Linked DNA regions of Danio rerio. Each later gene encodes a partner of the first gene's protein in a complex. Links are inferred from orthologs where the notes say so. Each region holds a gene or a part of one and is shown on either strand. Other genes may lie near its edges.

What was found. The genes of interacting proteins can lie anywhere in the genome.
Region 2: washc4 (region 1) and wash1 share a complex: the UniProt entries of both Homo sapiens proteins name them as parts of the WASH core complex. The link is inferred for Danio rerio from reciprocal best matches to the Homo sapiens genes WASHC4 and WASHC1.

The regions. Positions count from the first base shown.
Region 1 is NC_133200.1:31,096,699-31,100,265, forward strand, and holds part of washc4 (WASH complex subunit 4), read right to left. Parts: intron 3,226-3,567; coding exon 3,029-3,225; intron 2,952-3,028; coding exon 2,855-2,951; intron 2,760-2,854; coding exon of another isoform or gene 2,710-2,759; exon of another isoform or gene 2,566-2,709; intron 1-2,565. UniProt on the Homo sapiens protein: Acts as a component of the WASH core complex that functions as a nucleation-promoting factor (NPF) at the surface of endosomes, where it recruits and activates the Arp2/3 complex to induce actin polymerization, playing a key role in the fission of tubules that serve as transport intermediates during endosome sorting.
Region 2 is NC_133193.1:7,640,560-7,644,843, reverse strand, and holds the start of wash1 (WASH complex subunit 1), read right to left. Parts: upstream 2,807-4,284; 5' UTR 2,728-2,806; coding exon of another isoform or gene 2,720-2,727; 5' UTR 1,689-2,719; intron 1,608-1,688; 5' UTR 921-1,607; coding exon of another isoform or gene 920-920; coding exon 780-919; intron 1-779. UniProt on the Homo sapiens protein: Acts as a component of the WASH core complex that functions as a nucleation-promoting factor (NPF) at the surface of endosomes, where it recruits and activates the Arp2/3 complex to induce actin polymerization, playing a key role in the fission of tubules that serve as transport intermediates during endosome sorting.

The sequences.
Region 1 (3,567 bases):
CTCCAATTGAAACAATATTAGGTAGGGGTGGGGCTTTCTTTTTAAGCATAATTACCTTGTAGCAAACTAACGATAAGAGGGGAGTAACGGTTGAGAGTCTTATGGCTGAATCCATCAAACTGACATTATCAAGCTGTGTCCCAAATTGCATACTTATGCACTATTCTACGGCATTTTGTAGTATAAATTGTGTAAGTAGTGCGTTCACACTGAAAGCTAACAATAGTAAGTGTACTTTAATTTCCTGGATGATGCACTCATTCAGCCGGTTAAAATGAAGTGTGTAATGATGGACACTTCACGCACTCAATGACCGCAGGTTTGCTCATGTAGCCGAAGGGGCGGAGCTATCAAGCACACATGTTGGATAACTTTATTTATTTTGGATTGTGAAACCAAAGTTCTCCTATGAGAGTGATTATAACGCCTCCTAATGGTGAACGCGGTTATACTCATGCCAGGTATTATTTGATAGTTTGGTCATTTATTTCACTGATTTGGCAATAGTCAAACGTCATCAGAGAAACGGATTGAATTTTCGTTTAGTATAAAAACATTAGTGCTCCATTTGGGACGACACTACATGCATATACTATGCTGTTGAGTGTGTAAGTGCATAGTGTATAGTGTGCCATTCGGGACGCAGTTTCAGAGAAAAACGTCGGACCAAATAGTCAGATTTTAAATATTACCTAAACAAACTTTTGTGTGACACAAAGTTTTGTGTAATTTTGAGTGTTTCATTTTTATTTGTCGACTTTAACTGCAGTTTGGCACTTTCACTTTCATTCAGGAACATTTCATGCATGCCCCCTGTGACAAACAAGATATTGGATGTGAGTATGAACTGCTGGAAGAGTGTTGTTTTTATTGAATTTAAAACTGTATGATGTATGGAAAAAAAAAAACCCTTCGAATTTCACGATAACGGGGTCTGTGGTCTATTACTGACTTGATAGGTGCAAAAAAATAGTGTAAAAAATCCATGACGGTAATAGTTTGCATTTACATGTCTGTACTACACTTCATAATTCGACTAAAATCGGCATACTCCACTTCTTAATTCGATTTCTGTTTAGTTCGATTATGACTTTAGTCAGATTAAATTAATCAAAAATCGCTGTTTACATAGTAGACTCTTAATCAGAGTATTGTCTTAATCGTATTAAAATCAGATTATTGGTGTCCACGTAAACCAGGGGTGTCCAAAGTCAGTCTGGAGGGCCGGTGTCCTGCTGACTTTAGCTCCAACTTGCTACAACACATCTGCCTGGAGATCTTCTAGTATGCCTAGTAAGAGCTCGATTAGCTGGTTCAGGTGTGTTTGATTAGGGTTGGAGCTAAACTCCAGGACACCGGCCCTCCAGGACCGAGTGTGGACACCCCTGATTTAAACGTACTTAATGTGCACTGGCAAATTAACATGATAAATTTTGATTTCACATGGACTTTAAACGCAAAAAACAATTGCCCTGCGATCACTTTATATTTGGGATACTGTAATCAATGTATAGACAGAGTGGATATTCAGTTTTTCTAAGCTTTATTTCAAAAGCAGTGCGCTTAATCTAAATTTACAATGTTTATTTTGCTAGCTCACATTGTTATTCTTAAAGTGAACAATTTAGTTAATCCACTGAGAAAAATTGGTTTGTTTTGGTAATCTTCAATGAAAGTCTGATCATTTGGGGTCCTTCTGTTGAGGACTTTCATAGCAATTGCGTATTAATACTCTCTCTTACCATTTAGTTTGCTATTTAGCTTGCTATGACATGCAAAAGAAAGCCTCGCCCCTGCTCAATATTCTGTTTCAGTTGGAAGTGCATCAACATACTGAATAAACTAGCATAAACTCTTTTAAAGTAAGCATCTGCTGTATGTTATGCGTTACATCATGTAAAAGCCCACATTTATAACCACACATCTGAAAATGGATCAGCGGGATCAATACAGTAGATCATTTATTGGCTGATACTGGCTTGGCCACTGTTATACTGTACTATGAGGCATGACTTGTGTCTGCACTGGATGCATGTTGTGGGATGTTATCTGACAAAGTGAAAGTGAAGTAAAAGGCGGTTTATGGGACCTCAGTTTTTGAATGAGGGAACATTTAAGCCATTAAGTGCACAAATATTGAAGCAATGAGTATTTAACACATTAGTAATGGAAAAACTTTAAAAAAAAATAATAATAATAAAAAAACAGCACATGCTAGGGACACCCGGTTGTCAAAACAATGAAAATGCATTGACTCGCTTTTTCTGGGGGCTTTTCTGACTCGCTCCTCCAAAACACCCCAAAGTGGCTCAACTATATTTAAATCAGGTGACCATGCAGGCCATGGGAGATGTTCAACTTGACTTTCTCATCAAACCACTCTGTCACCAGTCTTGCTGTGTGTATTGCTACATTATCATCCAGATACACAGCAGCGCCTTCAGGATACAATTGTCTGCAAAACATATGCAAATAAAGCACCGTTTCCATCCATTGAAAGCCAACAGAAATGTCACTTCCTGATGAATTGGTGGAAACTTTCAAAGAGACAAAATGACATTTGCGTAAGTAGGAGAAGCCACTGTGGGCCTTTATTAATTTATTATAAATGATCTGCGCCTCAGAACATGAAACACAATGAACGCATGGTGACGTTTTGGATTTTAAATGATTGAACACCACAGAAGTCCAATACATGGAGAGCTTTTCCTAGAGATCTTCCATGCAATACTCATTTCCAACACACCTCTCTGTAAATTCTATCAGGTTTAGATGCGTTTAATCAGAATTGAAGCTTAAACTTACAGGATGGTAACTCTAAGAACACAACTTCAAGACGATTCCATCAACCAACCTTTGTCCTTCTTTTCCTGGGTCTCCTCTGCTGCTGTTTTATCAGCTCTGAAGAAAATCCGAGCACTGCTCAGTGAGAAATACAGCAACTCAAACTCCTACAAACACAAAGACGATGTCAATAAACAAGGTGACGTTCATTATTGCTGAAAAAGCAATGAAGATGCTTTCATACCTGCAGATATACGTCCAGTCTCTTCTGAGTCAGGTTCATTGTCTGCATGAGCTTCTCATCTTGGCTGGTGGACTGAACGTTCTGCTCCTTCACCACTGCATTCATTTCCTTCACATACTTTTCCCTCACAGCCTGGAACCAGTGGAGGGAGTCAAACTCCTGATACTGGTCCAGAAGCTTCAAGATGTAAGCAACTCCTGGAAAAAGTGGGAAAGGTCTTTGAATATTGCAGATGAGGTCGCTGACTCTGCAATAAATCACTACTCTCTGGTGGAATACCTCATTCCAGTCTTCACCTGAATTTATAAAACACAATGTTAAAGAAGCTGCTTCTCTGCAAACACTTAACCACACCAAAACATTAAAGGGTTAGTTCACCCAAAAAAGAAAATTCTGTTTTAATGATTCACCCTCATGTCATTCCAATTTAATCATTCCAAAAACTTTTTTAAATTAATAAAATGATAAGAGAGAGAGAGAGATCTAAAATATCATCTTTTGTGTTCGGAAGATGAAAGAAGACCTCTGGGGTTTGGAAC
Region 2 (4,284 bases), on another chromosome or scaffold:
ACATGATTCATTATTATTAATGTTAAAAACAGCTGTGCTGCTTAATTATTTTGGAAACTAGAATACCTTTTTAACCACTTTTAAACGAAGTTTCAAAACAGCATTTGTTTGAAACTGCACTCTTTTGTAACATAAATGTCTTTTCTGCTGGTTTTAAAATATTTTATGTGCATAAAAAAAAACTTTTATTAACTTTGAACTTATTTCAAAAAGTGTACATAATCTGTATAAATTAATAAAAATACAAATAAATACAAATGAATGAATTATATATCCTAAACATATTTTCTTGTGAACATGCTTTAATTCATAACATAAAAATAAAAATGTTAATGCATTTTATCAACATATTGAACAAATTGAAGCAAGGGAAACATTTTTTTAGGTATGATTTTGCTGAATAAACTTAAAAATAGCACTTTTAGTGTTCGCGTGAGCTGCCATAATGTACTGCAAACTTTATTTCATAACTTGAAAATAAAAAGTTGCATTTTTTCTATGTGTGCTAAAACATTTTTTTTTTTAACTGTCCAATTTTTGGGGAGATGGTGCCACTGAAAATGTTAGCATTGCAAACGAGAACAGAAACAAATCATATTAAAAATATATTTCAGAAAATCAAGAACTTTTTAGGTAAGATTCTGATGAGTAAAACAGTTAAAAAGAGCACTTTTACAATGTTTGCATGAACTGCCATATTGTTGTCCTTGTAGATGCTTGAACCTGCACTGCAAAAAACAGCACTCTTTACTAAAAATGAGTGTGCCAGAAAGAGTTACCTAGTAAAGATGTCTGTTGATATCATCTCTAGGTACTGTAAGGCATCAGTAATTTGATGCACAGCCTCTTCTCTCCTCAGGTCCGGCTGGATGAGAGGAACAGAGTACACCTGTCCCTCCAGGTAACGCTTCTGTGTCATCCTAAACACACAAACGCAGACAAGTGAATCATTTAATCTGAAAAATGTTTCCCTATATTAAGCCTAAAGCATTAAAAGAAAGCTTTAAAATGAAATTAAGATGCATTTCTACACTGTTTGCAACCCAAATGCTACTACTGAGGTAAAGTTGGTTTTATATTCACACATTCAGACTTTTTCCTTAATAACTGAATCATTCAATCTGTGAAAGAACGCATCTATCCTAAGCTTAAAGTATTAAACAAAGTATTAAAATAAAATTAAAAAGCATTTCTACACTGTTTGCATCCTAAATGCTATTACTGAGGTAAAGTTGGTTTCATATACAGACTCGCGTTAATAGAACCATACAATCTGTGAAAAAGTATTAAAACAAAGTATTAAACTCATTTCGACACTCTTTGAAACCAAAACACTATTCTTGAGCTAAAGTTGGTTTTATATTTGCATAATATTCAGACTCTCTCCTCAATAACTGAATCATACAATCTGTGAAAAAGTGTCTTTATACTATGCTTAACGTATTAAAAATAAATTAAAAACACATTACTACACTGTTTTGAAACCGAAAATCTATTACTGAGGTAAAGTCGGTTTTAAATTCTCACATTTAAACTTTCTCCTTAAAAATAGAGTCATACAATCTGTGAATGTGTCGTTATACTGTACAAAGTATTCAAATGCATTACTACATTTTTTGCATCCTAAATACGATTACTGAGGTAACGTTGTTTTTATATTCACACATTTAGACTTTCTCCTTAATAACCGAATCATTTAGTCTGTGAAAATGTGTCCCTATACTAAGTATTTAAACGAAGTATTAAAATCAAATTAAACCACATTTTTAATAGAGGTAAAGTTGGTTTATATTCGCACATTCAGACGTTCCCCTTTAATAATTTCATAAAAGTAATACTTGCAAACTTTAAATAGCGAAAGCATATTAGCTGCCAATGACTATCAAAGTGCAACATTGTTCACAGTCAAATAAACAGTGTTAATGTTGTTTTCAAGTCATACTTGCATGCTAATTCCGATCTAATATTCAAAGTAACATGGTAAACAATATACAGAGTTTTAAATTAACAAATGTGCGAATATAAAAGCAATTTTACCTCTATACATTTCTACACTGTTTGCAACCCAGATAGTTTTACTGAGGTAAAGTTGGTTTTATATTTGTAGATTCAGACTTTCTCCTTAATAACTAAATCATACAATCTATGAAAAGGTGTCCCTATACTATGCTTAAACTACTAAATCAAAGTATTAAAGTGAAATTAAAGCATTACTACACTTTTTGCAACCCAAATACTACCACAGAGGTACAGCTGGTTTAATATTATCAAATTCAGACTTTCTCCTTAATAATATAGTTTCAGAAAAGTATTATCTTTGCTAATTATAAATAGGGGAATCGCAGATACACGTGTCACACATCTGAATCCAATCTATAATATCTGATCTAATACAGAAACACAAACACTAATTCAGAAACTAAACCGAGAGGCTTTACCAAATGACAGTCACATGATAAGTCAACATATTCTTGGATAAAGGTGTATAAACAGTGTTTTGTTGTGTATAGCAAAACATACTCCTTAAAACAGTGTATAATAATAATAATATAACAGCTATATTAAAACATCAGCTGATTTCGACACTGATCTGCATCACGCGACCATCCGGTGTAAAACAAAACAAAACACAGCGACCAGACATTGACGGAGGATTTTAAGACATCAGTTTTCATATTGCTGGCTATAAAATAACAGTAAGTAGACGGTGATACTCTACCTGACCATTTAAGTGCAAAATGCATCAACGTTCGGGTTCGCGAAAGCGCTCGGCACTGTCTTTCAAGATGAAAACTTCCGCACAGACGTAGCACGTGACTTCTGACGTTGGCGCGTAACTGGAGAGACGTCAAATAATACAACACCAACACACAAATCATATTTGCTATAATTCTGTCTGTTGTAAACCCAAAATTACATTTAAAAGGTGTTGGGCTGAATGATAAAACATGTACTAAAAACATATTCGTATTATTTTTCAGAAGCAAAATAAAATGACTCCTAGAGACAAATTTTCCTGGAAGTCTATTACAGTTAATATTAATTGGAAAAGAGTCTAACTCCCTTCAAATACACTATTAATAATAAAATTGAGGAAATTCATTTTAAAATACTACATTCAATTTGCCCAGTAAAATCGTTATTATCAAAGTACATTGAAATGGAGGATATCTGGTCTGCAGTGTGGAAAAAGAGAGCCTTTGCCATTTATTGTTTAAATGCAACGTTGTAAACAATTTCTGGAAGGATCTAGCCAAATATACTTTTTAAAAGTACAAAACTTATTATTCCTTCCTTCCTTCCTTCCTTCCTTCCTTCCTTCCTTCCTTCCTTCATTCATTCATTCATTCATTCATTCATTTATTCATTTTCTTTTCGGTTTAGTCCCTTTATCAATCTGGGATTGCCACAGTGCAATGAATTGCCAACTTATCCAGCACGTTTTTACGCACCCGATTCCCTTCATGCAACCCATCACAAGGAAACATCCATGCACACACTCATTCACATGCGGACAATTTATTCTACCCAAATCACGTATGTCTTTGGACTTGTGGGGGAACCAAAGCACCCAGAGGAAACCCATGCCGACATGGGGAGAACTTACAAACTCCACACAGAAATGCCAATTGACCCAGCCAAGGCTCAAATAGACCTTCTTCTTCTTCTTCTTCTTCTTCTTCTTCTTCTTCTTCTGTGAGGTGAATGTGCCTCTGCGCCACCGTGCAGCCTTCATTAAAATATATTATTTTTTATTATGAAAACAAATCCAACAAAAGTCTTGAATATATTGTTAATTTCTTCATTTTATAGGCAACATTGTACATACACAAACAGGAATTTCCTAAGTCATCTCCCACATTAACAGTTTTTTTTTGTATCGAGTTTTACATCTTTATTTACTGTGAAATTGTTGAAAAGTAAAAAATCTGAGATATTTATCAATTATTATAACACTTTATATATAATTTATTTATATATAATTATATATAATATATAATATTATTTATATTTTAAAGATACAAATTTGTCTATATAAAACTTATCCATATTAATACCTCAAGGGTACATATTAGTACCTAAAAAGTACAAAAGTGTTCCTAGGTACTAATATCTACTGTTGAGGTACCAATATTGACCCTTTAAGTACAAACATGTACCTACTGAAAAGCTACCACCCCAGTGACAGCTTGCATACCTTTATTTCTGAGAGTGTATGAACATGTTAAAATAATTGTTAATGAATGTAAACAAGGCGAGGCAGTGGCGCAGTAGGTAGTGCTA